2 linked regions of the Lepisosteus oculatus genome follow. The protein of the gene in region 2 interacts with the protein of the main gene of each other region in a biochemical or structural test. Links are inferred from orthologs where the notes say so. Each region holds a gene or a part of one and is shown on either strand. Other genes may lie near its edges.

Region 1 (7,382 bases), on a different chromosome or scaffold from region 2:
CAGCCTGTGTCAAACACAACCACAGCTGGCAGGACCTCTCTCACACCGGACCAGCCTGTGTCAAACACAACCACAGCTGGCAGGACCTCTCTCAGGCCGAACCAGCCTGTGTCAAACACAACCACAACTGGCAGGACCTCTCTCGGGCCGAACCAGCCTGTGTCACACACAACCACAAGTGGCAGGACCTCTCTCGGGCCGAACCAGCCTGTGTCAAACACAACCACAGCTGGCAGGACCTCTCTCGGGCCGAACCAGCCTGTGTCAAACACAACCACAACTGGCAGGACCTCTCTCGGGCCGAACCAGCCTGTGTCAAACACAACCACAGCTGGCAGGACCTCTCTCGGGCCAAACCAGCCTGTGTCACGCACAACAACAACTGGGAGGACCTCTCTCACACCGGACCAGCCTGTGTCAAACACAACCACAGCTGGCAGGAGCTCTCTCGGGCCGAACCAGCCTGTGTCAAACACAACACGTAAAGTATAGGTTATGTAGAAGATAAGAAGCCACTAAATATACTGTAGGTAAATACAGGCACTCTACGTGGGTTTGTTAGCTAGAGCACTTACACGGAAGTCCAGAAATAAAAGTGCTCAAAAGCCGTCAATACATTTAAGGAAGCTACATGTAACTTTTGTTTCTATTTCTTTTTCTTTTTACAGAATAAGTGTGTGGTAATGACTCAGACAACAGCCTGCCACATAGCTTCTCCTTTCTTCAGTGAAATGACAAAATTACATTTATAAGAAATGAAGTGATCAGCTACTTTGGTCAAAAGTGTTGATGCCCGAGGATCCCTCAAAAGATATGGATGTGCTAAATGGTCTTTTATTTGAAACGTCTTGTAACATCAAGAACATGCCAATGTGAAGGCAGCAAGCACAAGCCTATCATTATACTCTTCTTTTTCATGTGATACATTACACAGATACATTCCTGGGCTTAAAGCAATGTTCTACACCGACATGCAGAAACATCGGAACCTTTTAGTCTTGAACAGAAAAGACAATGAGTGCACCTTATACAAATATAGAAAACTCAGAGGACAAAAGTGGAAACTACAGGGATATGCACTTTAAAACTGAGAACAGGAGGCACTTCTTTGCTCCTAGAGAGTTGTGAGAGTATGGAACAAATTGCTCAGTCACAGTTTTGGATGCGAATACCCGGTCTCCTTCAAGAAATGAATGGATGAGATCCTTTAGGTCACTTAGTTACAAAAAAATAGATTTTCTACATTACCTTCTCTTGTTTGAAACTTTATTTTTACGTGATCACTAATAGCTAGCTCACTAAGCTTTTGCAGGACCCCATAAAATCAATTTACCTAACATATAACTTGACAGCATGACTCGGATAATCACAATTTACCTTTCTTGGATCATAACCAAACCGATTCTCCAGCAGTCCTGCTGACAGAATGCCTTGCACTCTTTCACAGTTCAGCAGCACTGTCCCAAAATAGTTCAGGTGGGTAGCTGCATCAGCATGCGTAGGCTGCAAAGGAACAAGTAATAGGTTTATTCCCTGCTGAAAAGAAAAGAAAACACAACATTTTAGCTGTAGAGGCTTCTTCGGGTGTAAGCTTTCTTCTCTTTTCAGCTTACACCTGAAGAAGGCTTCACAGCCGAAACGTTGTGTTTTCTTTCTGCTCTTTTCGGCATGGAATAAACCTATTACCTGTTCCTTTACTGTCCCAAAATGTTGGGGTTTGTCAAAGTGCCATGAATTTCCTAGCCACTTCAAAGGTATCTTTCATAATCTTCCCTTTACAGGCGTTACAGGAAGATGATGTATTTTTTTTCCTGGAAGACTCATTTCTAAAGCGTTGCTCCCACAGCTCACTCAGCTGTAGTGGGAAACGCCACGTCACCTCACTCCATGAAGTTCTGATATTCAGAATAGTGCAAAACACAACACACCTCCTAGCACAGTGAATAGCACACTGACTGGCACACACACCAACACCAGCTGGACAGAGGAGCCAGGCACCAGCTAGGTCACAGACTGTGTGTGGATGGGATGGTGTGGGGGGAGTCCAGGTGCTATCTGAGAACATTTTTCTTCTCTGCTGCTCTCCACTGCCAGCTCTACACTCTAGAGACCTCTGATAAGCAAATGAACTCCACCACCCTCAGTGCTCTGGAAATACAGAAGTTGATACTGCAGAATAAGCACTGTAATTCATGGCAAGAAAACTAAGCTTATATCAAACCCTACCAGGTTTCTCACCGTCAGTGAACTTTCTACAGTTGTTTCATTTTTTACTTCATACTCACTATTATCTCCTTTTACAGACCATATGTTATTACAGTCTGTCCCCTAGAGCTTTTCTTAAATGTAACAAATGTGAAGACTCATAAAAGACTTTGGTAGGGGGGTGTGCCAAATTCGAAAAGTGGACCTCTCTGTTTTCGTTTTGCTTCCTTATTCAGTCTAATCATCTGCTCAAGTACATTTATATATTTCTGCCCTCTTTCAGGTCTCGTGATGGAAAGTTTAAAAAGATTTTTATAATTCAGCTTACAGAACATATAACTCAGCAGCTCAAAAATCTAAAGGATATATTTGTCCCCCTTCTGTTGGGTAAAGCCATTACGCCAATTAAATACGAATGGAAAATATGTCGGCTTTTATGCACTAAAAATGTTCAGTCTTGAACTTCTGAGTCCTAATGCCCACGTACAATGACGGAGACACTATTCAGTAAGAAGGTGCCGTCCTTCGGATGAGATGTAAGACGGGGGTCCTGACTCTCTGTGGTCATTAAAATCTCAGGGCGTTTCTTGAAAAGAGTATTTTAGTAATTAAGTATTAATTAAGAGTGCGATGTCGTTTGACAAGTGTCTACATGCCCTTAAAGTGTTTTGCATCAAAGAACCGATAGTGAATCCTATATTTGTTTTTAAACAAAAAGGCTGTCCAACTACGTGCATTAATGTGCATTGATGGAGGAAAACCGTATAATTATAAAGAGGAAACATTTGAGGGTAATTAATTCTCCTAAACTTTAAGGACGACGACCTTAAAAGTCAGTCTCCCATTTGTCTGGATTTTGTACCGTATGAAGTCCTCGATCAGGTTCACAGACAGGTGTAGCCACCGAGCGAGTTCGCCTTGCCTTGTGGGATGAGCTGTTAAACCGCAGTCCTCTCCCACTTGTGCAGACGCGATGGGCTCTTCGGCGCTTCCTGCTCTTCTCGGTGCGTGGTAAAGCGGGGACACACGAGATACAGCGGCGCTTCGTCCTTTCCAGGGGTAGCAAACCATCGGTTCTGACAATCCGGTTCGTCCAGGGCAGGCGGCGATGGCTGGCTCCAGCGGTGAGGTTCTGTCTCTGCAGGAATACATCGCTTCCGTGGACGCGTCCACGCTGCCGCGCGTCCTGCAGGTCTGCTCCGGGGTTTATTTTCAAGGTAAGTACAGTGGTTTTGCCAAAACGGAGACCAGACAGAGGACAGAGCGTAATCCTATACCTTGGACATGAAGCACACAAATGAAGATTAGCCTGTAGAAAAGGGTCTTGGTAGAAAAAAAAAGTTGTTCACAGGAGCAGTACCACACAGAAACGATACTGTACTACCAGCATTATTAGATTTAAAGACTGATGGTAGATACGGACAATCTTTTTCACTGCCCCAAAATTATTATAATTTCTGGAGTGTAACAACGAGTCTGGAATGGAGATAAAACACTACTGTGTCCCAATATGAAAAAAAATAACAATTACTTCCGTAAATAATTATTACATGTATGTTAATTGGACAGGTTTGAAGTTGATCTATTTTTGCCATATAAGGACACCGCAGGCTTTTGTTTTGAGTAAAATAGAAATGTAACTATATGAACTCCAAATAAAATTAAAATAGTAGCGCTTTAAGCATTCATTTGTTAACCCTGCTCTCTTCTTGCTTCAAAAAAGACTAGTGTACACACCAGCTGTGTGTAAACAGTAGTTCGTGGAATTGAGTTCTGATGATCTCTGGATTGTTGTTTTTTTTACCAAAGGAAAATAAAGTTTTATTACGCATATCAGTTTGGCGGTAGGCCATATGACACTTCTTTTTAAGGCGAAAACTGAAAGTAAAAAACATGTAGATAGGCCACCGTACAACAGATTAATGACAGTATCTACTGATGCAGACACAACACACGGCGTCATTTGGAATATACGAGTTTAATATTACTGTGACCCCGATGTTGGTTTCACATTTACCGTATCTACAACTGCCCAGGGATCGATTTATGAATTGATATAGTAAGAATTTCCCACCCCAAACTAAGGAACACAGTTTAAATTAATCAGAACTAGCTCAGCGAAATAAAAAAGATATCTCGTTTGTTATTCCTTATTGTTAAACTAGCGAATCCTCTAAGAAACCCTCAAGAATGAGCGAAACACATTGTTTAGTAGTGACCATGCAGTCTGGTTTCTGATTTGAAGAAGCGCTGCCGTTCATCCCGGCATGAACCACATGCTGATACACGTCGGTTCATTTGTAACTGCAGAAGCTCCCAGCATATTCCAGCTGTCCCCAAATTCCCGCACACGCATCCATGAACTCCAGGAAGAGGCCAGTTTAGCAAAGCCCGAGATTCTCTCTGTAGGGAAAGATTCTAAAAATGTCGATTGGTCAGACGTTTAAGGAAACAATTAAAACACTGGGAACAATTGGAAGGAAATAAAACATTGATTTTGGTCCAGTGATAAAGAAGGTACAGCAGGAAGGGAAGCAATATTTCTCTATTTTTTTTTGCTATATTTACTTCTAACTAGTGCTACTTCTATAATATCCACTCTGCAGAACAGGAACCCACTGCAAACCAGACTCCAGGCTGCGTGGAACCTGGCGTCTCATGATTTGCATAATTTGCTTTTCCTTTGGTCATTGACCATTTTACTTGGAAGCATAAATGGAGATTCACAGGAACAAACATGTGTAAATGCAAAGGGTTGGAGGAGACTCTGTCCTCGAGCCTGTGTTTGTTAGTGCGGGCTTGCCCATTATTAAGGATTAGGCTGGGTGAGAGGAAGTGGGTATGACTTGTATCACTAGGTCCTGTGATGACCTTCTCAACATAAATATTGCAAACTCAGCCCTGATACACCGCCTGAGTTTACACAGAAAAACAGAATGTAACTTGCTTACATTCAAATGTGTGACAGGTTTTCACTTTTATTTATATAATATATATAACATTACTTTATAACCCTTTACAACTTCTTGCATTAGGAATTATCTTTTCACATACCCCAGCTTACTCTCCATGAGACACACAGACAGTGAGAGAGCTTGGGGTCAGAGCGCAGGGTCTGCCATTGTACGGCACCCCTGGAGCAGTTGGGGTTAAGGGCCTTGGTCAGGGGCCCAACGGAGTAGGATTCCTCTGCCAGCTGCAGGATTTGAACCAGCAACCTTCCAGCTACTGGTATAGATCCTTAGCCACAGAGCCACTGCTCCACCCGAGCTATGTATTTGTGAGAATACATAGTGCCTTTATTTATATTTCATACCTACCCTCAGTTTTACAGCCTTCGCAGGCAATGCCAGTCAAATCACTGTGTTTAGGGAGTTATCTGCAGTACAAGTAAATATTTAATCAGCTCAGAGTGAATTTTTGTAGTTAGTGTACAAGGAAGTGTACCCTGCAGATCCTATGAAACAGTGGGGAAAATCCCAAGCCATTTAATTTTAATTTTATGTGAAGCCAAGTGAAACAGTTCGTTGAATCAGGTTGGAATTTACATCAAACGCATAAAATGAATGGTGCAAGAGTAAGGTTCCTTTTTATGTGGAGATCAGTCACACGGGAAAAAGTATCCCATTTCCCACATGGTGTAACCTGTTTTATTTAAATTAATTACGTATTAAAATAATAACTCTCTGAAAATGCACAAACAAGGGAAGGCAGTTTAGTCCCTTATATTTCCAGCTAGTGCAGGGTGACGTAATCCCCGTTAAGCCATTAGTGAGCAGACCCAATTGAAACAGCCTTCAAAGGTATGGCAGAGCATTCAGCACAAGCAGATGTCAAACTGTGCCTCCCTCATCCGTAAGGCCATTTTCTTCCAGTTCATTTTTGTTCTCTCTTCTCCTGCACACGGACTTGAGACTGAAGTAGCAGGCAGTGAGTAGCAGGGTTTAAGTGAACCTGATGTTGCAGATCTAAGCCCAATTGTCTTAATATTGCCAGAGCCTATAACAGCAAGGATTGGATGCAAGGAATGGCCACCAGTCCATCGCAGGGCACACACGGTGTCCCAATATGATTAATTTGAAGTCTTATTTGAACTTATTTGAATGAATAATAATAATAATCAACATCATCATCTTCAAATCGAATGTTTACATTGCTTATTGTCTTTAATATACAACTTTTCTGCGTAATTTTCTGCGTAGATGGAAACATGGGAAAAGGAACTGACCCAGAACTGAAAAGCCTTCTCCTACACTGTGGCTGGGCTCTCTGGGCCTGTTTGGTCATAGGCACTATCCCTGCCAGTCCTCCACTGTTTAATTGATAAATGATAAGGTTGATAATAAAGATCAATCAATTGATCTGACTAGTTGGATTTATTCGACTCAGTCTGCAGATAGTCATAGTCCATTTACTGTTCGTAGGAGGCAGATGGTCTGCAAAATATAACACCACAGTAATTCAATAAGTAGTCAGAAGAAATGAAGATGAACTAACAAAGAATACCAAGAAAACCCATTGTATTGCCACAGCTATGTATTGTGAAGGCGAACTGTTGAGGAAAACCACAGCCTTCCATAGTAGGTTGGAAAGAGGCAGCAGGTCAGCAGTCAGGATGATCTGTGTGTGCATTGAAATCACTTAGTTGTGTAATACTTACAGAGGTTGTAACCCCATTCAACAGCAAAAAAACAACAACTTTTTGCTAGATGCCAATTTGCTGATGGGGAAAAAAAGTAAATTTGCAAATATTAGCCTTCAGAGGAACTAGTAAAGGTTTATTGGAGTTTATTTATGGAATAAACCTTTACTTGGTGATTTGTAGCCTATGCATGCTGAGACAGCTACTGTACCTACCTAACTAATCTTAGCCTTGTTAATTAACTGTGAAATATTGCGGATTTTTACCATTTTTTGTACATATTACAGTAATTCCCCGAGAGTTCCTCACTTTATCGATTTGTGTATACAGGTCACTTTTGGTGATTATTTTTAAGCACATTGAGATGATGTATCATTAAAGTTGTAAAATGAAGTAACAAAGTATCAATGATAAATTATTAATATTATTAGACCAGCAATACTGCTGAGGTACAGGGGTGAATTGTGAAGAAGATGAAACCACACTGGCAGTGTAGTTAGAGTAAGTATTATAGATCAGAGCCCCATGCACAACT
Region 2 (8,023 bases):
TTATTACATTATTACCATCCCCTCATCCAATAAACTCCAGAATCTCTACCGCTGGTGAGATTAATCTGGCCACGCCCTTTTTTCCATCCTTGGGCCCGGCGTAGCGGTTAGAGGACGGAGAGGTATTTACGCCACGGATGCCCCTGCTGTCAGGCCTGAAGCCCAGGTGAGGGAATGAGCTGGGAAGACGTGTGGAATCCGGCGCTCAGAGACCAGTGAACAGGCCCGGGTTTGTCTGGGCTCTCTGAGAGGAAGGGGGCAAATCGCGACAACCTCGCATCTGAAACTTGGTTGAAAGCTTGTGTCATGTACATAGGTACAATGTGCAGTGCTCCCAGTGGCAGCCCCAAGTGTCACTAGCCTGTGTAGAACCCCTGTGAACCATCCGCTGATGACAAATGTCAGTCAGTATAATGAAGCTGCTGTGGCCTGTAAGTACGATAAGAACTCTGTGCACCTGCTACAAAACCAGCTTTGTCATTTTCCTGATAACTTAGTGAAGTTGTTGCCGATACGACCAATGCATTTAATTTGATGCTCACATACAGCAAATGCTTATACAGTATAGATAGCTTTTGATGCTATGCATATACAGCAATTGCTTGTGTTAAAGTAAGTGCAACAACATTAGGAACAAGTGAAAAAAAAAGCTCATAACCATTTTAGCTTTTGACATGCAACGCTTGATTTGGAACAATCTGGAGCTGAATAGCTTTGCGCAGTCTGACAACTCCTTTGCAGTTTGACGATGAAGGAATGTCACTTTTCCTGAAGTTATTAGATGGAAGAATGCAGTACAGAGCTGATGTCAAACTGTTTTAAGATTTTTTTAAAACACTCAGTACACCTTTGTGTACACAGTGTATTTGATTAGAGAGCAAGATAGAAGATTTTGATAAAATACTTCCTGGTACAATATTTTAAAGGTCATGTCAAGTCCGTAAACATTAGAACAGACATTTTGTGTAGGTTGTGGTCTATACTTTCCATCATCATTATTATTATTTCTGTTTTTTTTCTGTTTTCTGTTCTAGATAAACAGGCTTCCTTCAGGGAATCATAAAATGTCCTTATTGCAAATACACTATTTTACCTCTTTTTTTTCAAAGTAAGAGGTCCCTCAGAGATCAGTTTCCCCAGAGTGTTTATGTGCCATTTACATGGGTGTTTGCATAAATGGAACAAAAGAGAACCTTTGGTGCACCAGAAAAATGATAGTGTTTCATGTGTTTCAGCACAAAGAAAGAAACAGACAGTAAGTCTACGATTATTGTAGTACCTCCCAGCCAAACGGTAGATTCCTGCATGAGAGCAGGACACTGTAAAACATCAAGGATGCTGGGGGGAAACAGGTTCAAGTAAGGAGCTGCATCAGTGTGCGTTGCCTGCAAAGAAATGAGTAAAGAGTCCTTCCATGCTGAAACATAGAAAGAAATTCAAACATTTCAGCTGTTGAGCCTTTTTCAAGGGTGAAGTTGATTCTAAAAACAGTTCTTCTGCCTCACACCTACATCAAAAAAGAAGGTTGTCTGATTGTCCTTTAAGCACTTAATGGAAATATGTAATAAGAGTTCCATAGGGCAGTTTGTACTCGTGGTTTGTGCTGTCCACAGCACAATCAACCTCTGTGACTGAGGTTGCTGACACTTGCTTGTATCTACCAGCTGCTGACTCGAGGTCTGGGTGAATTTTGGCTTACAGAATTTTCAATCGTATGCATTTGTGTGGTGCATGCAGTATTGACTAAGGCTAGAGCCTATCAGGGCTCTCAGTAGAGAACGCATTCCCTTATCACTCCTGATTTGTAAATTCTGTGTCTTAAGGTTAAGGTCCTTTGGATGAGACGTAAAACCAAGGTCCTGACTCTGTGGTCATTAAAAATCCCAGGGTGTTTCTTGAAAACAGTAGGGGTGTTACCCCGGCATCCTGGCCAAATTACCCATTGGACTTTACCACTAATGGCCTCCTAATAATCCCCATCTCTGAACTGGCTTCATCACTCTGTTCTCCTCCACACTGAGAGCTGGTGTGTGGAGAGTGTACTGGTGCATCATTCATTCCCCATTACCTGTAAAGCGCTTTGAGTGGAGTGTCCAGAAAAGTGCTATTTAAGTAGCTCAGACATTCTGCTAAATACATCTACAACATTGGGGGTTCAGGGATAAGGGAGGGAAACTAAGTGGGGTTAACATTTAAATTTCAAAGGTAGCAGATAAAATGTATTTCAAGTTGGACATGTATTCGCTTATCACCAGCAGATGTAAAGATAGTAGAATTAATGTGACAGTTTCGATTGGGTTTTTTTTTTAGAGATAACACTTCTGGCATTACTAGAAGGGTGTTAAAATGAAACGTTCTTGAGATGTGAAACTAATTCGCACATTAGTTTCAAACACAATTTAAAAGCAATAGGCAGCAGCCACATTTGTTAGCCGGGACAACTACATTTGTGCATGAGGCAGGATTAAACCTAGGGAACCGACAGCAGGATCTTTCAGAAACCAGCACTGTAAATCTCTGGATCACTCAAACCTTTATTTTAAGACCTTTAAGAAATGACAATAAAAGAGAGTTTTAAAGAATGATGATAGTTTGAGAATCGAGAACACAATTAAAAAATCCCCTTCTACTACCAAATAGGTGGCAGAACAAGATCAGAAGAGCCTGATTCTGAAAGCTATGATGGCAGAGAATATTTTCAGCAATACTTATTCTATATGAATTACCTTCTCTTTTGAGAAATCACACTTGCTTCTGAGGTGGAATTTTTTTTCCTGACATTATTGACAGGATTAATGATGAAGCACTATTCTGGTTGAGCACAGTTTTGACGATATTATTTCACGGTGCTATTCAAGGGCAAGAGAACAACGCCACTAGGTGGCCGTTTCTCAAAATACAGCTGTCAATATCCTTATTGTTCTCAAACTATTCTGTGTGAGTTGTCATCTGCAATCATTTGATTTATCCCAGATGAAGCAAATGCACAGTGGACAAACAGATTCAGGGAATAATATATACAAACTACAATCACTTGACAATCCAAGAAAATTGTACATTTTAACCAATTAAGAACATAAACCTAGTCACTAACTGCACATTATATACACAGAAGTAAGCAATTAAATGACTGGCTCTCTAAATGATCTTCACATTTGGAATTACTGTTTGTTTGAAATGTACTGTAATTCTAACCTGAAAGTGTAATCACAAGAGGGAGAAATGGGCATGACATGAACATCGGCAGACTGCTCTTTTTTCTGTCAGACATTCCCGGTCCTGGTCCTGCTGGTTGTGTCCCAGCTCAGCTCTTGGCTACACAACTGAACCCCTAACTGACTGCAAAATAAGATCAATTTGACCTGGCTGCCTTTTCCTCAAATTGTTCTGTTTTCGAACTGCAACCCGTTCAGGGTCAAATCCCACCAATCACACCAGGGCCAGTTTTCCCAGAAGACCATGAACTTCCCAGCCCTCACCAATCATGGCCTCCTAACAATCCCCCTCTGTAAATTGGCTTCATTACTCTGCTCTTCTCCCCACTGAGAGCTGATGTGTGGTGAGTGTTCTGGCGCACTATGGCTGCCGTCGCATCATCCAGGTGGGGCTGCACATTGGTGGTAGTGGAGGGGAGTCCCCATTACCTGTAAAGTGCTTTGAGCGGAGTGTCCAGAAAAGCGCTATATGAGTGTAAGCAATTATTATTATCATCCAGGTGGAGCTGCACACTGGTGGTGGTGGAGGGGATCCCCATTACCTGTAAAGAGCTTTGAGTTTTCTTTTTCTTTTCAGCATGGAATAAACATAAGTTTTTGCTTAAACCTATTACTTGTACTTTTCGCAATTCAATTGTTGCTGGATTGTTTTTTAACCATGTTCTTAAGAAAAAATATCTTTTTTCACGCTGTTTTTTCTTATTTTACCCCGAATGGTCATATTTTATTTTGACAGTGTATCAACCAAAATTGAACAAGCTCTCGATATATGCTGTACATAATGACCTTGATTGTTTAAACCATTTGTTCAATGAAGATATGACAAAGTAAAATGTTGTGTGTGTTGTTAAATAAGACAAATAAATAAAAAAAAATATTAGATAGATGAAGACCAGATCTCATTTTAGGAGCCATTCATGCAGAAATCCAGATAATTCCTAAGGGTTCACAAACTTTTTCTCACAACTGTAAAGCCTCGAACTGCTTATCAGATATCAGACACAGTGGCGCTCCTTGACTTTTTTTCCACAAGGCATACAACCACTGCACACGCAATTATGTACATATTTGCCGAGAGGCGCTAAACACATTACAAATTATGTTGTCGGCTGTCTGTCCTTGCCACACAATACGTGCCCCTTAAAACATTTACACGGCAAATTAAAACAGAACAACTAATCTGGGTGCGATACATCACAAATACTAAAATAAATCGAAAATCTATCTGCCTCCCTTTTCCCCGCGGCTCTTCGAGTACCACAGCTGCCGTGTCGCACACCTGAACGGTACAGCGAATCTTGTACATTTGTTTCTCATTTTAAAGAATTATCGGAAAATAAAAATAAATCTACAGCACGTCACCGTCCCTCACGTGTGTGAATTTCATAGTGATAAAACCTTGATGTTCTTAAGTGTATCAATAGGAAAAGGCACAGAGTTTGGGTCACGTAGCAGTAATCATTTTAATATCACTAACGTGGAACCGAGGGGAAAGTGCGACAGTTATGATCACTTTACGGGAGTGTGGCAAATCTGTTGGATAAGTGGTCTGTTCTGGTTCAGACATACTGGGCGGGCTGTATTCCATTTATTGTTGGGACTACACAGGTTAAAAATATAATAATGGTCAGATTTAAAAAAAAAACAGCAGGTCAAGATGGACATTCCTTAAAACCCTGTAGGCTCGCGCGTTCCGCTCGGCGGCGGCGAGGGGTTATGACGTCACGCGCCAGCGACCACCCTCCCCAGGAGCGCGCGCGCGCCTGCAGTTTTCCGGGGCGATTCGGCCATTTCCAGCGCGCGTCTGCAGCTCGAGCCGAACGGTTTGCGGCGGTGTGGCCTCGCGCTGGGGGGGAGGGGGAAGTGGAGGAAGAGGAAGAGGAAGATGAAGGAAGATGTCTGAGAGCCAAGCCGAGGCGGGAAACGAGATGCCGTCGAAAAAGCAGAAACTGAGCAGCGACGAGAACAGCAACCCCGATCTTTCGGGGGATGAAAACGTAAGGCCGAGCTGAGCGCTTCTAGAGAGAGCGGTGACTTCCAGCGTCGGGGATGCGGGCGGCGTGAGGTTCCCCTTGACGCCCGTGTCTCGATTTTAGACTAAAAAGTTGGGTGTAAAAATGGGTGACTGCTGAACCACAGCAGAGGCCCCGATCTCTGTGCAACAGCGTGAGCCGCTCACCCGCGCTGGCGGCGTTACAGCTGCTGCTGTAGTCTCGGTTCAGAGCTGGCTACTCCTGGCACGAAATTATATTTTTGCCCGGCGATGTAGAAACGGAACGGTATTTCCATCAGGAATATTCTGTTCGTCGTGCGGCCGCAGACACAAGCTCCTAGTTGTCTTCGTTCGGCGCTCTTATTCTCTAAATTTGATATTTTTTGGGGGGTTTCATGTTTCTCGTCAGATCAAACTTATTTATATTAGTTCGATGTGTTTTTTTTCTTCTAACGCGAGATACAGGGGAGATTCGCGGTGCCCAGCCTCAAGGTGCCCGTTGTCTCCCCGTGCGGTCGGTCACCACTCCTGGAAAATAACGTTACAATCCTGCTAAACAGGTCGTCAGAAAGCAGTTAACGTGCCGAAACCTTCGTTACTTCAGACCTTCTTCAAAATGCTTTTCAATGCCAATACCGTTTAAACCGGTGGCTTAAAATACCATTTGTTTTGTGTGTGTTTTTTCTTTGTAGTACTTCGTTTCGGTTGTTTTAAGAAACAGTCAATTGAAGGGTGAAGGACACCTTTACTGCAGCAGCGCTACAGAATTTATCACTCGTCTCTAAAACACGTCACCAAAACGAACCGCTCACTGCCGAGATGGCGAGACGCTCAGTAGAGACAGAGCTCCCCGGAGACATCATTGACAGTCTGAGAAGGAGACTGGGCATTCAGTTGTCGGGCTGACGTGCTGTTTTCATTCAGCCGTACGTGTGATAGAGGATTTCGTGTCGTTTTTAGCTGTTACGGTCTTCAAAACGAAGACGGATGTTTTCAGTGTTAGAAAATGTGTAGCATTTTAAAGCAAGGAACGGGTGAATGCAGGGTCTTCCTGTTGAAGACACAGGTTAAGGAGCCGCACGTTGAATAAGCTTGTAGGACGTTTTCGTCTTTCTTTACATAGAACAGCCTTGAAAATGGCCCGGAAAATTCCGATGAGTTTTCAAACTCAGGGTACGAAAAAAATCACATGATTGCTGTTTATTTTATCAACATACACGGTTAATTCAGGATTTGAGTGTGGCTTTTGTGCTGGGAGCTGGAAATTTCTTCAGACCTAGTTGCCCTTATTGAGGTGCAAGAGGATTAAAATGGGTACTGGGATTATATTTTCTAGAATATTTCATCGTTTTTTAATGTAATGGTCGACACCCGGTTGGATTCGAGTATTTGTTTGCCATTGCATCAATGGAAAACGTACTTAAAATGTACTGAATGAGGTTTCTCTAGCGTGCTGCAATAGAAGAATCAATCACTCGTTTGGTTGAAATAAATACAAGGTGGTCAAGTGACTTCCTGTTGACTTTGAAGCCGGGCAGGATTTTAACCCTGTTCTTAAACTAAACTTTGTTAATTTGTAAACTCGCTCATCTTTGCCATGTGTAATACCAATCAGACAAATCAGTGAAATTGTTCAGCTTTTCAGTCTGTCTTTTGGCAGGAATAGGGAGCAGCCGATCGGGATTTCACATTTCCTGAATTTGGGCATTACAGACCAGTTTTCATCCCAGGTTACAAAGCTGAATGTACATTTTTAGTTCAATTTCCGGTCAGCTTTCGGAATCTTTCCCTGTCTCAAAGTGTCCCATTGTATGCAGAGTCCCATAAATTACAATGCAGTTAATTGTGAGGATCAACAGTCAGTCTTCTGAGGGTTATCAGTCTCAAATCTCCCTTGCAGATGGTTTTATTTATTTGGTTTTATTTTTTTTCCACTCCATGGCATTAAAATGATCAGTGTGCCACGCTGGATGTGTGGCGGAAAGTGCCCCAAGGAAGACGCTGCCACTCTGTGCTGTCTGTGTTGCAGGACGATGCCATCAGTATAGAGAGTGGGACCAACACCGAGCGCCCAGACACCCCCACCAACACGCCCAATGCCCCCGGCAGGAAGAGCTGGGGCAAGGGCAAGTGGAAATCCAAGAAGTGTAAATACTCCTTCAAGTGCGTCAACAGCCTCAAGGTGAGTGTAGCCACAGGAGTGTGCTGAACTAGCTTGTGAGTGTATGAAGTAGGAGGACTGGTCTTTTCCCAGTTTCGGATGAAACGAAAACCGAGGTCCCGAACCTCTGTGGTCATTAAAAATCCCAGGGCGTTTCCCGAAAAGAGTAGGGGTGTTAATCCTGGTGTCCTGGATACATTTCCTCCAGGCCTTTACCAATCATGGCCTCCTAATAATCCCCATCTCTGAACTGGCTTCATCACTCTGCTCTCCTGCCCACTGAGAGCTGGTGTGTAAAGAGCTTTAAGTGGAGTGTCCAGAAAAGTTCTATATAAGTGTCAGGACTAATAGTATTAACAGTTCAGAGAGGTTCGACATGCACTTGGTGTTTTGGAACGTGACATGGAGCTGTGCTTTCACAATTCCCCTAAACTGTAATTTTTAATGCCTGCAGTGCAAAGGGGATGCTTAATGGACATATTTAAAATGTGCAGAATGTGAATAACCAAGCAAGCATCTTTCCATTATGCATGCTTTCCTGGTGGAAGGCACTTGAGAATGAGAGCAGTAGGATAATTGAAAATGGCGGAATAAAAGGAGCCACCAGTCTGTGGTCTGCCTGATTTGGAGAGCTGGTCTTCACTTGTCTCTCCC

The links.
Region 1: the proteins of eed (region 2) and nuclear inhibitor of protein phosphatase 1 form a complex in vitro, tested with the Homo sapiens proteins (2 studies listed by BioGRID). The link is inferred for Lepisosteus oculatus from reciprocal best matches to the Homo sapiens genes EED and PPP1R8.

Annotation. Positions count from the first base shown.
Region 1 is NC_090706.1:4,788,964-4,796,345, forward strand, and holds the start of nuclear inhibitor of protein phosphatase 1, read right to left. Parts: upstream 3,216-7,382; 5' UTR 3,128-3,215; intron 1-3,127. Other genes in the region: protein THEMIS2, read left to right, coding at 3,314-3,422. UniProt on the Homo sapiens protein: Inhibitor subunit of the major nuclear protein phosphatase-1 (PP-1). It has RNA-binding activity but does not cleave RNA and may target PP-1 to RNA-associated substrates. May also be involved in pre-mRNA splicing.
Region 2 is NC_090710.1:28,192,843-28,200,865, forward strand, and holds the start of eed (polycomb protein eed), read left to right. Parts: upstream 1-4,990; 5' UTR 4,991-5,110; coding exon 5,111-5,212; intron 5,213-7,237; coding exon 7,238-7,390; intron 7,391-8,023. UniProt on the Homo sapiens protein: Polycomb group (PcG) protein. Component of the PRC2/EED-EZH2 complex, which methylates 'Lys-9' and 'Lys-27' of histone H3, leading to transcriptional repression of the affected target gene.